3 linked regions of the Cricetulus griseus genome follow. The protein of the gene in region 2 purifies or fractionates together with the protein of the main gene of each other region. This does not show direct contact. Links are inferred from orthologs where the notes say so. Each region holds a gene or a part of one and is shown on either strand. Other genes may lie near its edges. The genes, in order: Mapk8, Wdr62 and Cep170.

Region 1 (6,248 bases), on a different chromosome or scaffold from region 2:
AATTTTAACCAAATTTGAAAATCTCTGAATGCATAATAGGAGACACAGGTATCTGCTCTGTTTCATATGTACATCATAACATAAAGAAAAGAAAGGCACAAATTTCTCAAAGTTCTCTCACACACAAATTCTAAAAACTAAATTTCAGTGAAATTTGGCCTGTTCAGAGATTTGCAGCAGGCTTTGGTAGGGGGAAGCTTTTCACAGATCCTGTAAAGGAGCATAAATTCACTGGGTCATGCCTTAAGTCCCATCTTTTGACCATAGCTTCTTGGGGTTAATGAACCCTCCATTTTCACATCTTCCAGTCTTGGACAGTATTTTATCAAAAGGCATGATGCTGTGAAACAAACAGAATTTGCCATTCAAAGAAAACCTAGCTTACAGCAAAAACTGTACAAGTCTGATAATGGAGACAAACTAACAAGTTTTTCTGATACTTACTTTTCTTGACTGGAGTTTTCTAGTCACTTAAAGACTCCAATGAACGTTGGGCGGTGGTGGTGCACGCCTTTAATCCCAGCACTCAGGAGGCAGAGGCAGGTGGATCTCTGTGAGTTCGAGACCAGCCTGGTCTACAAGAGCTAGTTCCAGGACAGCCTCCAAAGCCACAGAGAAACCCTGTCTCGAAAAACCAAAAAAAAAAAAAAAAAAAAAAAAGACTCCAATGAACAACTTGCAGCAGGCTCATACTTGCTAATGACAAAGTAACAAGGAACATGAGTATGATTCCTGGACTGTTTTATTCCAGGAATTTATGACAGGGTGACTCACTTCGGTACTCCTGTCACATTTTAGTAAATTCTGAATCCCGACTCTTTTCTAAACCTAAAGCTCAGGAGAGCCACATCAGGGTAAGAATGTACAGCTCCTGGATGTTCAGGTAGTGACTGGGTCTGAGACAAGCATCACAGTTCAAACAGGCAAGTGATTCATGTGTAAAGCTCCAGGGTTGTGACTCCCTTGCCCTACATGAATCAGAAAGGTCCATACTACTGACTCTATCAGTCTTCTAGAGGACAGGAACCTTAATCAGACTAATATTATACTTCTACACCTGCAGCAAAGCATCTCAAATATGGAGATGACTCAAATCTGTCACCTGACAGGCAAAGCACGGCAACAAGAAGCTGGCTCCTATTTAGCAACCCCTCAATTACCACTAGGATGGTTTATGGCTAGCTATTAACAACAAATTACTGTTTCACTGGCCATCTAGTATCTTCTCCAGACCATTTCCATAATATCATTCATAGAACAAATAAGATTCTAATTGTATTCATTTTGGTAACAATTTATTCTTTAGCTTTTGTAGCCCAGACTGGCCTCAAACTCATCTTGTCTTGGCCTCTCAAGTCCTGGGATTACAGGCATGTATCACCACATATGGCTCAATTAACTCTTATACTAAATTTCCTTTCCAAGTAATTTCTCTAAGGATTAAAAGGAGCATGAAATATACAGTTTCCTAATATGCCACGACAGTTAAAGGGTACCCTTTTCATTAAAGGGACTTATTTATTAACAGAACCCATACTCTCTTCCTTTCAAACACCAGACTGCTTTTTTTTTTTTTTTAAGGGGGTTTTCTTTGTGGTACAATGATGCTCCAGAATGGTATAGTAGTGATCAATGCATAATTATGCAAGTAGACTAAACACCACTAAAAAATACTCTATGAGAGCCACTCTTTATGTGAATTAAATCTCAAGAAAGCTGTTTAAACAACAGAATTTAGAAGACAACCTAACTGAATTTATGCAGAGTCTGTCTGTGTGTGAGCCACTCAAATGATTTCTTAATTCCAGAGTCCCTTCTGGAACCTCATACACTTAGCTAGGTAAAGCAATAAAAGTTTGGTGCCCCAAGGTCTATCACTCAGAGTAATAGAATAATTTCCTTATTTTTCCATTCTTATTCTACAGTAAATAAGTTCATCTGAATGACTTTTCATATCGAAAAGAAATATTTTTTAAATAGTGGAAACGTGCCAAAACTTGGATAAATTCATAGTATTTTGCATTTTAAACCCATATGCTCTGTGAGATAGATAAGTACAAGCTAAAACCTGACCTTTCCAGTAAGCAACTCTAAAACATTAACCAGCTCTAGACTATTAGAAATAAAATATCTGTAAAACACATGTGGGTGTTGTGCTTTTCTACTCAAAGAAATCATAAAAACTTGTGAAATAATAGTGGGAAAAGATACATTCCCTAAAAGTCTGGGAATCTGGGTTTGATGTCTAGAACCCACTTAAAGGTAAAAGAAAATCAACCCCACAAAGTTGTCCTCTGGCTTCCACATGCACACAGAAGTATGTGTACCCCCTGCCCCAAAAAACACACCATGCACCCTAGATAGTAATTTTTTTTTTTTAGGGGAGAAAAATGAAATCATGTTAGATTCCTAATGAAACACCACTGTTAGGTCTGGGTTCATTCACACATCTGGCTGGAAAAAGCCCTTATCTAAAATATTGGAAGTGAACAAAGTACCCAACTTTGATGACAAAGTACCAAGTGAATGCCCCTTATCTGCAAAGGACTGTAAGTGTTTCAGATTTTGGAGTATCTCCGACTTTCAAGTTATGGATGCTCAACTTTTACACACATACTTAACAGACCCCCCACCACACACACACACAACACAATTTTCTACTTTATTAATTATATGCAAAAAATTCAGGGGTGGTCTTAAAATAGTGAATGCCCTGGAAGTAAAGCATAAAAACAAAAACAGTGATCCCAAACCCTCTTTTATCTTAACAGGTAGTATCCTCTACTAATTTACGATGCAGCCAACTGAGAGTGATGCTTGACACTTCTCAAACTTCGGGGGTGGGGGTGGGATTTAAAGCTTCCAATTTTCCTCTATAAACTTTTTTTTTTAATCAACTCAACGTGTATGACTTCCATGCTAGGTGCTGGAGAAATGATGCAAGATAGGCATCGAAGTACCATTTTGAGTGCTTGCTTTCATCATACACAGCAGTAAACATGTTCACTCAGAGAACCTGACCTCCCAGGTCTAACAGCCTGAGGTAACCATTAACAACGACAAGAAATTAGGGGAGTGGTGGTAAGATTTAAGAATAATGGTGGTATATTTAAGCAAATCTAGCTCTTCTTCACATTACCTATCACATTACCTTCAGAAGTTCTAATAAAACGAGGCAAATACCTTACTTAACATATATCACTTATATAACAGTCTTATTTAAAGGCACATCTATTCTATTCCAAAGTACCCTATTCGTAAGGGTCTTTCTCTTGGCCTTCACATCCTCTCCATCTGGATACAGTACTAACAGCTGCTGAATGAATGAATGAAATAAACAGATGTTCTAACTGACCAAAAGGTACTTGGCGGATGCTCATCTCAAAACACAATAGGCTGACAGACCAGAATTCTACTGAAAAGACCACTTGATTTCAGAAGTAGAAATAGCAACTACTGGACACCGTGCAGTCAACATGTTATTAAATTGCCGGTGGTATAGGGAACTTTCGGGAATGAAAATGCAAGGTGTTCCTTACGGTACTTTAAAATGGACTTGGATCTACCGTGTCTGGACTGGGAATCCAGGCACAAGACAAAGAGACAGCGGTGGGGGAAAGTCAAAAGGTCAGCGCCAGGAGCCCCTCTGAAGGCGCGGCCCGCAGGCCGGCGCGCTCGCGGCCACCCGGCCCTTCACGGCGTCGCGGCACTCACGTCCGCACAAAGAAACCGCCCACAGTCAAAACACGCTCCCCGTGGGTGCGGGAGACCTATGTACGGTCGCGTCGGCCCGATCTCCGCGAGAGCACCTCCGAACTTGCCGCCCACCGGCTCCATTCTCCCCGCGCAACGTGGAAACCGGCCAGAGTGGAGAAGCCAGGTCGCGCCGAGTGGACCACGCCCCCCGCTGCCCCGCCGCCCGCGCTATTGTTCCCGCGCCGCCCCCGCCCCGCGCGCGTTCCCGGAGGGGGTCACGGCCGGGGGAAGGCGGCGGCCGCCCGGGCCGCGGAGCCCGCGCACTCACCCGGCAGCGCAGCCAATGGCGACCGGGAAGCCCGTAGCGGTGAGCGGCGCCGTCCCGCGGTGGCCGCGGCCGCTACTCAGCCCTGCTCGCGGCTCCGCGTTCCGGCCGCGACGTCCGGCCTCGGCCGCTCCGCTGACTAACAGAGACGCGGGTCGTCAACGCGCACGCCCGCCCACGTCATCGCGCAGGGCCCCGCCCCCGCGCCTGCGAGCGGCCTGGGGGCGGAGCGGCCCCGGGGGCCCGGATTGTGAAGGCGTGGCCCAGTGACCGGGGGCGTGGCTACATTGGAGAGCAGGCGGCACTCGCGGAGGTCGCCGCGGGCCGCAACTGGGAAAGCCGCGTGTGAGGGGCGTGGCCGGGAGCAGCAGGGGGCGGGGCTGCGACGGCACGTGGCGGCGCGTGGCGGCGAAACACCAGTCATAGCCTAAGCCTGCTGGGCTGCCAGCTTGTGGAGGGGCGTTAGTGTTTGAAGGTCAGGCACGCATGTCAGTGCACACACGTGAGCCACGGAGAATCCTACTTGGACAGCCACTCTTCCAAGGCCTACCACCCACCAATAAGAAAATGTTCTCCAGCTCCCTGGAAAAAGTTACCCCCCCAAAAAATAAATGCTCCAGATTCTTTGCATTACCTGATATACCTCCAAAGCCTCGTGTCTCCTGCAAATATTAGCTATGGACTGATTAACTGGCCAGCCTAACCACCCGACAATGGATGGAAAGGCATTTAAATTACTATTATTCATTCAGTAGAGTATATTTATCCCTTTAAAGACAATGTGTTTGTTCAAAGGCATTTTTACCAACCAGAGAAAGTAACTTATAAGAGAAGGGAGCAAGAAACACGTACACATAGAATGATTACACATATATAAAAAATACATTACATGCACAGTATATACAAAAAAACATGGAAAGGAACATGATAGGTGTTTTGACAGTGGTGAATAAAGGGCAGTCTCTCCTGTGTGGTATCCTATGATTTCCAAAAATATATAAATATTTATCAAATAAAGTCAGCTGGATTATTATGTTCCAATTACACGTTGAGATGCTCTGTTTGCAGTGATGTGGTCATAAGGCAAATGTGAGCATTCATCCATCCATCCTCTCCCCATTTCGTCTCTCTCAACAATTCTTTTATTTATTTATTTATTTATTTATTTATTTTTATTTTATGTTCACTGGTGTTTTTTGCCTGCATGTTTGTCATGTGAAGGTGTCAGGACTACTGGAGCTGGAGTTGCAGATAGTGGTGAACTGCCATGAGGGTGCTGGGAATTGAACCTGGGTCCTCAAGAAGAGCACCCAGTGCTCTTAACAACTGACTCATCACTCCACCCGCCTCACCAATTCTTTATTTCCATACTTCCTTTATTTCTCCAGTGACTATTTTATCACTTGCCCATTCTCTTAAAGGCAGTGTTCTAGCACTAGCAGCAATTAGATCTTTCATAACAGAGAATTTCTGTTATGAAAGTAATTATACAAAACGTAAAAGTATCAACGTATAATACAAATTAAAAGGATACATCAGACTATGAAAGGAACCAATATATCCATAAGACCAGGAATGTTTTCTCCAAGGAAGTGCCTGCTGAGTTGAGAATAGGTTTGACCAGGCAGAAATTTTTGTCAGAGTTAACTTGTTGTATGAAGGTCCTATGATGAGAGAGCAGAGTAACCTGAGGGAATTGAGGACAGACCAGCTATTTTGGAATAGCAAAGAAAAAGAAGTTACAAAATGAAAATGAGAAGACTGAGAAAAATTTTTGTTGAAAATGTTTTATTCCAAGTGTAATTGGAAGGCCCTGGTGTGTCTTCAGCAATGGATGGTATGATCATTCTGATATCAAGAAAGATTTCTTATTGCAAAGAGGCTTTTCTAGATTTTTCAAGATAGAACTCTTCCCCACCTACAATTCTTAGTAAAAACTTTCTTTTCTTCCAGAGTATGTATGCCATTTATAGTTCAAAAGGTGCTGCAAGACATTTGTGTGTCCCCCATGGCAGAGAAGACAGCGTTCTTTCCTTGACTTTTTCCTTTGGGTGACTTTAGGGAAGACCCTCTGTTGTCCCTTCCCCCATCTGGTCCCCTGGTACCCTTCTCCTTATCCTTAAGATGTCAAACTGATATTCATACCAGATGGGCAAGCGTTTATTCTGCCAATAACCCTTGACAGAGGGACCCCTGTGAATTTCCAACCTTTGTCAACTTTCTGTAT
Region 2 (4,322 bases):
TTGGGTCTGGGCAGGCTCTGAGTTTCAGCTGACTTGGCTGAGAAATGGGGCTGAAGTGGCTCCATGTCACACCGACAGGACTTCATAATGATTGGTGTCCCTTGTGTAGGTTGATGTCTCACTGCCTAGGAACTGCCCTGATATCGGGGGAGCCAAGTGTGGGCCCATAGTGGTGGCAAAGGCTGGGCTGCCACACTAACGGGGGAGAGCTATCTGCTCAGGGGCCCTATGTCCACAGCTGGCTCCGTTGTTGCTAGGAGACAGAGTCAAGCTGCTGTCTGTACAGCACTACCCTTCAGGTCCAGCAAGGCTGGTTTTTTTTTCCCCCCAAGATTTATTTATAATGTGTACAGTGTTCTGCCTGCACGTATCCCTGCAGGCCAGAAGAGGGCACCAGATCTCACTACAGAGGGTTGTGAGCCACCATGTGGTCGCTGGGAATTGAACTCAGGACCTCTGGAAGAGCAGCCAGTGCTCTTAACCTCTGAGCCATCTCTCCAGCCCAACAAGACTGTTTCTTTGAGACAGGGTTTCTCTGTGTGTAGCCCTGGCTGTCCTGGAACTCGCTCTGTAGACCAGGCTGGCAATGAACTCACAGAGACCCACCTGCTTCTGCCTCCCGAGTGCTGGGACTAAAGACCCATGCTACTACTGCCTGGCTGTTCTCCTCTTAATCAGAGCTACTGTGACTATCCACAAGGGGCCTTCCTTTATAAGAGTGGATGGGTTGGAGCTGGGTGATGGCCCTGGCCTTTAGGAGACCCCTCTGCTGGGTTCCTTTTTACAGGGACTTGGGACAGGATGAGTGAGGTCTGGAGTGGCCTTCTTAGGAAGGTTCTATGTCTGCAGTTGGCTCATGGGATGAAGCTGGATACAGTTCTTTCAGATGAAGGCATCACAGGGCCCAGCAACTAGGTGGCTTGGGGCTGCTGCAGATTCTTCAATGGTATTTGTCTCCTACTGCCCCTGCTGCAGATGTGACAATGACAACCCAGACCCCGCCGGATCCAGTGTGAATTTAGCCTAGGGCCATCAGCCAGGAGTGTATGTACTGAGGACAGGGTCAGACCCGTGATGACCCCAGCGGCTCCACTGGGTTTGAAAGCACCTGTAGGGTCAGGAAGGCTAGCTCCTACTGGGTGGTGGTGGCACACGACTTTGATCCCAGCACTGGGGAGGCAGAGGCAGGGGGATGTCTGTGAGTTCAAGGCCAGCGTGGTCTACAGAGTGAGTTCCAGGACAGAGAAACCCTGTCTTGAAAAAAACAAAAACAAAAACAAAAAGCAAGCAAACAAGCATAGAATCCTAGCTCCTCCTAAGGATGGGCTCCAATGGGCAGAGAGCACACATGACCCCTGCAATAGCTCAGTATGCTAGGGACAGGCTACATGGGATGCCAGGCCTGGCATTCATCATTCCTGTTAGTCCCATGTTCCCTGCTGGCAGGTGCACAGAACAGGGCCTAGAGCTGAAGCAAAGCCGAGTCTCCAGGCTGGTTCATCCATGCGGACCCTTTACCCCCCCTCTCTCTGCATCCACTGAGGAGGGCTTTACAGACAGGACAGGTTCCAGAAAACTATTTAATTTAGTCAGTTTATTTGCTTTAAAATCAATCTCTGCTGAGCAGCGAGGCTTTGGTGGAGGGGCTGCCGGCTTTTAGTCGCCCCTTGCTTTCCTCTTCACAGCCTGCACCAGCAGCTCTGAGTAGTGTTCCAGCAGGGCCTGCAGGTTTGGGCTGGCCAGGAGACACAGTGTAGGTGAGGAAGGCAGGCCGGGGCTAGGCAGTGTCTGGGGTGGAGCCGTGTTAGCTGCAGCCATCCAGTTGCTGGCTTCCAGCTGGCTGTGGATCCACTGAAAGGCGGAGGCCAGCTCCGTCTGTGCCTGCTGCTGTTCGGCACCCAGCTGGTTGCTGGAGACCAACTGTAAGGGATGGCAAGCTTGTCAGGGGACATGCAGTACTGCCAGGGAGCCCTGCCCATTCTCCCGCACTGCCCTGGGCTCCTTAGCTTACCATTCGGTAAAGGTCAAGGGCTTCTTGGAAGACAGCCTGCAGCCTGTGCGAGACTGATCTTATACTGCCCAGCTCAAGGAGTGCTGGGGGCAGGACCTCAGCTGGGAGCCCAGGCTCCCCACAGTGTCCAGGGCTGCCCGGCATATCTGGGGGTAGAGAAGAGTGAATGACCAAGATAGTTTGACTTTCTGGATGGCTTGAGAGAGGCCAGGTGGCTGGGCTAATGACTGTTGGCCCTGGACCACTTTCTTCAGTCCCCAAGGCCTCTCTTCCTCACAGGGTTCTGCTGGATAGAAACTTCTCCTTAAATCATGTTGTTGCCATCCTAAAATTGAAGCTACACTGCTCTCCCCGCCCCTTTCCCCCTGCCTTATTTCTCTCAGTAACTTGTATCACCTTGTGATACGTCTGACACTTTGGTCTGGGTATCTCCCCTAGCGTAGGAATCAACTCTCTCGTTTGTCCTCTTGTTTGTCACCATGTCTCATGTGCCCAGGACCTAGAACAAAGCCCAGCATGTGCTCATTAACTATGTGAATGAATGAACGAATGGATGAATGAGTGAATGAATGAATGAGTGAATGAATAACACAGTCCCTCTTGTGGCTAGGGTGAGCGTCCTACTTGGCAGAGGAGTCGAGCGGCACAGGGGACAGGCTAGGGCTCTCTCTATCCGTGTCCCATGGTAGTACTCACCAGGGGTGGGCTCCAGGAGAGCAGCGGTACTACTAGGCACCCTAGACCTGGTCTCTAGAAGTTGGAGGCTGTTGGGATGGCCAGGAGGGATGAGGGGCCCAGAGGCTGAGGTCCTTGGGAGAAACACAGAGCTGTGGAGTCTTGGGGTGCTAGCATCTACAGGGCTGGGTGCTGGGAAGCTGGCTACTGTGGCTGTCACACCAGGCTGGACATCCACAGAGTCCTGAGACCACACACATGTGATGGGTGGCTCCAGTGGGGGTGAAGACAGGAGCTGGCCACAGACACTGGATAAGGGCAGTTTGAGGCTGGCTCGGGCCTCATGATTGCCCCAGGAAGGCATGGCAGGATCCTGGCCTTCGATGCTAGAAGTGAGAGTCACTATGGTGGGGATGGCCTGGGGTTCCTGGCCCAGGGAAGCCAGTTCTCCCATGGATAAGGGTTTGTGAAGTGACCTGGATGGCTCAGGTGTCACAAGGCCCTCACTGTCCCCAAGAGACATGCTACGTGATATCTTGGCATGTGAGCTAGTCGTCGTCTCCAGGTAAGAACATGTAGACGGGGCACAGACACTCTGATCCAGGCCTGTGATAGGTACAGATGTGGGTGTTGGAGGCTTCCTGTCTGTGGGTGGCACCGAGGAGGAAGAGACACAGAAGGCCAGGCCTGTGAGGGAAGGAGCTGCAAAGGAAGCAGATGGCTCACTTGTACACGAGTCTCAGAGCCCTGCCCTAGGAATGCTTCACCATCTGAACGGACAATTCCATGGCTCAGCTGGACACCCAGGGCTGTTCATCTCGGATTGGAGACATTTACTTGGTAGATACAAGGCCTCTGGAGGCTCCTCAGCCTTCTGCCCAGAGAGGACCTCCAAGCCCAGCTCTGTGGTAAAGACAAGGCCTCCTGGCTTGCAGCCCTGGGTCCTAGGCGTGACCTCAATACTCACATTGGTCCCATCTGAGGACATGTAGCCAGTACCTGCTCTCAGGGACCCTGCTCTGGACTGGCCGCATCCTTGTCCTGTAGGCTTGACCTCTGGAGACTTCCTAAGGTGAAGGGGCAGCCGGGGAGGGAAGCTGGGGAAGAAGCCAGGTGGAAAAGAGAAGTTCACATAGCCTGACCCGAGGGTCACGGAGGGGCGTGGCTGAGGAAAGGGAAATTGGGGGTCACTGGCTTCTACCTGGAGGCCTTCTGGAGTCGTGAGAGAAACTGGGTGGAGATGCTCAGCCGGGGATTGAAGAGATGGTGGTCAGCCTCTGAGATCTTCATGTCTGCCACTGATCCATGAAAGAGCTCTAGGAAGACCAATGGAGCCTCAGGCCTGCCCGCATCTCACGTGCCTCAAGTGTGAAGTGCGGCTCAAACCATCTGCTCTTGCCTTCACTTCCCTATCCAGGGCCGTCACAGACCACAAAGGTGCCTGCTTGCTGCCCATTCACCCTCAGGTGGGCTCGGGTCTTTGGACTGATGGAGGAGGTCCTAGGATAGGAGTCGATACACTATGCCTGGCCAGCACTAGACACACAGACACACACACACACACACACACACACACACACACACACACACCATCTGGGTGCAAGGTCAGGCCTTACCTTCAGTAGTGGGAGTATCA
Region 3 (5,571 bases), on a different chromosome or scaffold from region 2:
GCTTTCTCTGCCTAAGAAAGCGGTGCTGTAGATAACTACATTTCATAATGACTTTTGACAAATGGTTTCACTTTTCAGTAACTCAGTTGTAAAATTAAAGTTTCCTCATCTAGAAAATGTAGTATGTGAACAGAGATTAATTTCTCTGTAGACAAAGTCATGAAAGGTGTGAGCCTGTCAGAACTGTAGTCTGACTAGAAATACATATTAGAAAAATTGCTAAGGAGTTTTAAGATCATGCTAAAAAAATTGAACAGGTTTCTTCTCTTACAACATTGAAAGAACATAGTCTGAAGTTTATGAATTTTCTATTTCTATTCACAGCCATTTTTATTTAAACCAAATTAAACTACATGGGATAGTATTGTTTATACTAATATTTTATAATTAATTTAAAGAGCAATTTAGTAACTAAGCTAGAACTGAATTTGTATGCCTAAACTGGACAATATTAACAGATACATATATATATATATATATATATGTGTGTGTGTGTGTGTGTGTGTGTGTGTGTGTGTGTATACACATACATGTATCTGATATATTTGTTTATTTATTTTGAGATAGGTCTTTAGTAGCCCAGTTTGGCTTTGTTTATTTATATGTGAGACAGGGTCTTAATCTGTAGAAGCCTTCATTGGCTTGTGGCGATGGTCAGAAGTGAATTCTGTCAAAGAGTTACTTTCAGTGGTGTACTGTTATCAAATTCAATGGTAAATGAAGCATGTACTACACCTGCTGTATGGGAATTTGATGTGTCTATTTTTGGAATCTCATGAATAGTGCTCTCTTCAGTAAGTAAGTTAGTATCACTCTGTGTCTCAATTCTTTTATCTATAAAATGGGCAAAAATAACAAAGGTAACTACTACCTTTAGACATTGTCATGATGAAATGTATATAAATCATTTGGAAGAAGCAGACAAACTAAGTGCAACTGAATGCTTGCCATTATTTGTCATGGTTCTACTCTTTATCATAGTCATATGTATGTGTCATTTTATTTTACAAGTTATGTATGTCAGAATTTCAAAACTGTGTGAGGGAACAAATGCTACATTTTTATGGCTCCTTAATTTCCACTATCATGCAATTATTTTCTGAATTTTGCAACAATTAAATTAATCTGTGTTCTTTAATGCATCTAATTGGTTATACTCCCCCTAACCAGATAGTTCTCTCTAGTGCAAAATGAGGTTAGAATATATGGTACTTGAAGTAAGGAATTTAGAGTTCAGTGATGAAGTTTTAGACAAAGACAATTAACCAAAGCAGTATTGTTCACTAGCAGTATAGTATCATTTAGTAATTTACAATGCACATACTGTGGGAGAAGAGGAGGCAGGAATTAGCACAATTTATGTGGGGGTACATTGGGAGAGAACACTAAAACAGTAACAGATATCAGGTGCACTAGGGAACAAAAAGTTCAAAATTTTGTCAAGCAAGACAAAATCACTCTAGTTGTTGTGGAACTAAAATAAAGATCAGTTCACATTTGCTATGGAAAGTTTACAGCAATAAGTTGAATTATGATTCATCAGTGAAAACAAAGACAACAAAATAGGTTTTATATTAGATAAAATGAAGACCATAAAAAGTAGACATTCTTGATTGACGTCCAGTTTCCTTCCTAAAGAACTTTTTCCTAAAAGAACTTCAATACTTTCTGGTACCACTCTTCTATGACACTGCTTATATGCCTTAGGGACAAATAACTCCATATCATGCTTCAAGATGAGCAAGATAATGATAGTCTCACATTGTTTGCCAGAGACTGGTTAGAATAGCAGGTGACCTTCTTTAATCTGTGAGAAGCTAATGAGAGATCTGCTGAAGATTTTGGGAGAGGTCTTCTTCCAAATACTGGGAGGTCTTCTTATACAACTTTTGTTCTTTACTTCTGGGTGTGATCAAAACTGTATAACTTTGAATACTGATGGCAGCAGCTTTGAATGTGAGGGGTAACTCTATCAGTATGTATGTACTGTGGATACCAAATCAGAGATGGTGAAACTAGATAACAATGCTATCTATTGCACTGAACAACCCTGAGAGAAATCAGGTATGGGAGCCAAGACATTCCTTTCCTACTCAGTATCAGACAGCAATTCTTTCATTTACAACAGAAGGCATGTTAAATAATATTAAATGATATAAAGAACAGCACTGGTGAAGAAACAAATTTGTGATGGAAAGCTATTTTCAAATTTGGCATCCTAAGTACTACTTGATCATGACAGCTTTTTAAAGACTTGTACTCTGGTGTAATTAGACTGTGTCAAAAGACACAATGTTCATAACTCTCCAGCTAAGAAAACTGTCCTGCTTACTTTGTATAAATGAAGTCAAAAACACCTTGAAAGAGTTCTAATGGGGTTTGTCCTTGCCTCAGTGGCACACTATGTCTTCAAAACTGATCTTTGGTGTCTGTACTTTATTCCTCCAGTTTTGGATCCTTATCTGCTGTTAACAAAGAAATTGGTTGTTCCATCCTTCAGTTCTGATGTCTTTTCAACAACTTTATGCGACAATTGGTATCTCCATTTATCTTGGAAATCTTGACTTTTCTGGACACTGGTCACCACTTAACCACCCAAGTTCCTTAGTTAATAATATAAGAATCTATTTCTACACTTTGGCTGCCGAACTCTGCATCATATTGCTATCTTAATAAAGTAAGCATGCTGGGGCTTTAAAGAACTTATAATTTCATATTGTATTTTTTAATACAACAGATTTTTTATTTTGTAGTATATGATTATGAATCAAGTAAAGACATGTAACTCACATGTCCCTACTACTTTATCAATTCATTTGCATATTTTAAAATGCTTAAATGTCCAGTGTGTGGCATTAATCTGTTTAACAATTTCATAAGCTGGAAAAATATGATGAGATTTTTATAAGGATACCATATTTAGTATTTTATGTTAAACTCATAATATATTACAAGAGCAAAGCCACAATCACCTTTAAAAAAATCAAGTTATGTTATAGATCATTTTTCAGAGTAGACTGACTTTTGTTTGGAATATAAATACTTGCCCAGTATGAATTTGATATCATAGCTATTGAAGTATTTTTACCTGAAGTCCCAGTTTCATGATTTTTTTCTTCAGGCTTGCCATTAGATTTGAAAGCTCTTTGTTCATCTACCTCATCATCTCCCCACCATGATGGCTGCCCATATAATGGAGTACCACGGGGCATAGCAGAAACATCTAAAAGAGAAGGGAGGAAAATCTCTCTAAAGCAGATGAAGCAAGAAAACATATTTTGCATAGTGCTAGATTTACTTAGTTGATTAAAAGTACTTTACTTTTAGTAACGTAACATTTGAGCATGACCTTACGCAGCTCTAGACACCATTAAGTGAATTAAGATCAGCAATGATTGAGTAATGCAACATGCTATAATCAACAGCTTTTTATTACATGTTAGGGACTTCTGATATATACCTGAGCCCCGGGAACAAATGATCTTTGAGTACTTAGACAGAAGTATCTTAGGTGGAAGAATTTTGTTAGAATTACCAAAAGAATAATGAAACCAGTCTGACCAGAAATGTCACTAAATCTAAATACATAAAAGATAAAACTAAAGCAAATACTGGCATGTACAACAACATAAGAGTATTGAACAGTAACTATATTTGTACTCAGTGCTAACAGATCTTCAGTTCTAGTAGCTGTGATACTGTTTATCAATTTAATACATTTGTTACATGAAGGGATTATCTATATAAAACATCTTTGTAGTTATTAAAACTGTAAGCATTATATGATATGAGGGTGGTAATTAAATTTTTCCATTTTATTTCAATTGTAATTCAGAGAAACATAGATAATATGAAATGCTAAACTATTAAATATCCTTCAAATATTGAAATCACTTTCCTTAATAATTAAGATATTGGTTGCACATACATATAGTTCTGTCAATGTTTTCTAGGAAAAACAGGCTATATTGAAATGTGCTCTGGGATGGATCACTAGTATAATTATTTTTATGCAGGTATAGACACATGTTTGAGAACAAAGAATGCAATTTCTTCAACCCCAAACATAAATTCAGAATTTCCAAAGGAATTAGCTTATTGTAATGTATATCATAGTGACAACAATCGTGTTGTTATTGTAATGTATATAATTATTGACAAACTATCAGGTGCTGTTTGAGGTCATTGAGAAGCTAGTTCTGGAAGTGAGGTAGACACATCCCCCACTTTAGATCCCAAGCAGTTTGTCTCAAAGTGTCCTCCAAGGTCTGGGGATGAGCTAGTCCACCTAACTCTGACAGGGAGGGAGACAAAAACAAAAGAGCCCCAAAGTAAAACATGGTGTCCTTGAAAACAGCTAAAATGTAAACTATTTCCATCAGAGGTTATTGTTGTTTATCCTATAATATGAAAGTGTCTACAGAGGAAGAGAGGAGCTGGAAACATAGCTCTGGGAAGCTACATTTGAGAACTGCAGCTAACTGCCTCAGTTTCCTCAGTTAGTTACTACTGGATGTTGTGAGCAACCTATTAGATGATACTACCTTTCTGTAGGTTAGTTGCTGTGGTTACTTGGAAGCCTCACATCAAGTGACAGTCTATTCTGCCTGGGACTTTGTACTGGGAACTCCAACTGCTTTAAAGGTGCTTCCACAGTTAACCAACTGTGAGTACCCAACTTGATATTTTCCTTTTGTGCTTCCTCTCTTCCTCCCCTCCCTCTGAATACAAAGATAGATATAGCTATTGTAGGTCATTCTCCATAGCATACAAAGCACTTACCCATGGATTTCTCCTCAGATTTCAGTGCTTCTGTGGCTCTGTGTGGCACTTCTGTAGTAGCATCCACTTTTGAGTCTGTGCCTTTAGCACTTGCTGATTTTGGTAATTCTGATTCTGAAGACTTCTGAGACAACTGAAGCTGAATGGTAAACTTCTCATGCTATAAAACATTTAAAATCAAAGGGAAGCTTCGATAAAGGAGTCAACTGTAGTGAGTAATAGTCAACCACAAGGGTAAACTCTTACCTTAAGAGCCTCTTCAGGGACCCTCATTTCTCCTCGAACTACAGTGAAGAGATTTGTATGTAAACAGAGCTAAGGAAGAATATAACTCCAAAATTTTGGTTACTGTGCTTGAATATGGTCATCAAATATAATTTGGAGATTGTTCTATTTCAAGAGTAAATATAGGATTATTATGTTTATTTATCATCGATTTCTACAGGTACTGGGGATTAAATCCAGGACTTTGCATATGCTAGACAAGTTTTCTACCGCTGAACCACATCCTAAGATTTAAAAGAAATTTTTCTTACAGACAAGATCTCTAGGCTATCCTCAAATCTGAGATTTTTTTTTTAAATCTGAGATTCTTCTGGCAGCTCACTGAGTACCTGGAATGCAGCATGCGTCTATAATACTCCCTTTAATATTAAAAAATATTTAAAATATGTAATTTGCCACTTAAAAATATTAACAACTTAAAAAATCTAATAAGTATTTATAATCTCAGGCAATACTAGCCTTCAAATAATTAGAGCACAAATATTTTTATTTTCACAAACAACA

Evidence for each region.
Region 1: the proteins of Wdr62 (region 2) and Mapk8 purify together in Homo sapiens (affinity purification with mass spectrometry; 5 studies listed by BioGRID and IntAct, counting the BioPlex papers as one, with this or other methods). This does not show direct contact. The link is inferred for Cricetulus griseus from reciprocal best matches to the Homo sapiens genes WDR62 and MAPK8.
Region 3: the proteins of Wdr62 (region 2) and Cep170 purify together in Homo sapiens (affinity purification with mass spectrometry; 3 studies listed by BioGRID and IntAct, with this or other methods). This does not show direct contact. The link is inferred for Cricetulus griseus from reciprocal best matches to the Homo sapiens genes WDR62 and CEP170.

The regions. Positions count from the first base shown.
Region 1 is NW_023276807.1:185,963,516-185,969,763, reverse strand, and holds the start of Mapk8 (mitogen-activated protein kinase 8), read right to left. Parts: upstream 4,176-6,248; 5' UTR 4,025-4,175; intron 1-4,024. UniProt on the Homo sapiens protein: Serine/threonine-protein kinase involved in various processes such as cell proliferation, differentiation, migration, transformation and programmed cell death.
Region 2 is NC_048602.1:5,584,213-5,588,534, reverse strand, and holds the end of Wdr62 (WD repeat-containing protein 62), read right to left. Parts: coding exon 4,303-4,322; intron 4,003-4,302; coding exon 3,888-4,002; intron 3,784-3,887; coding exon 3,686-3,783; coding exon of another isoform or gene 3,654-3,685; intron 3,389-3,653; coding exon 2,708-3,388; intron 2,158-2,707; coding exon 2,012-2,157; intron 1,921-2,011; coding exon 1,657-1,920; 3' UTR 1,575-1,656; downstream 1-1,574. UniProt on the Homo sapiens protein: Required for cerebral cortical development. Plays a role in neuronal proliferation and migration.
Region 3 is NC_048598.1:17,007,512-17,013,082, reverse strand, and holds part of Cep170 (centrosomal protein of 170 kDa), read right to left. Parts: intron 5,088-5,571; coding exon 5,029-5,087; intron 4,943-5,028; coding exon 4,783-4,942; intron 3,224-4,782; coding exon 3,089-3,223; intron 1-3,088.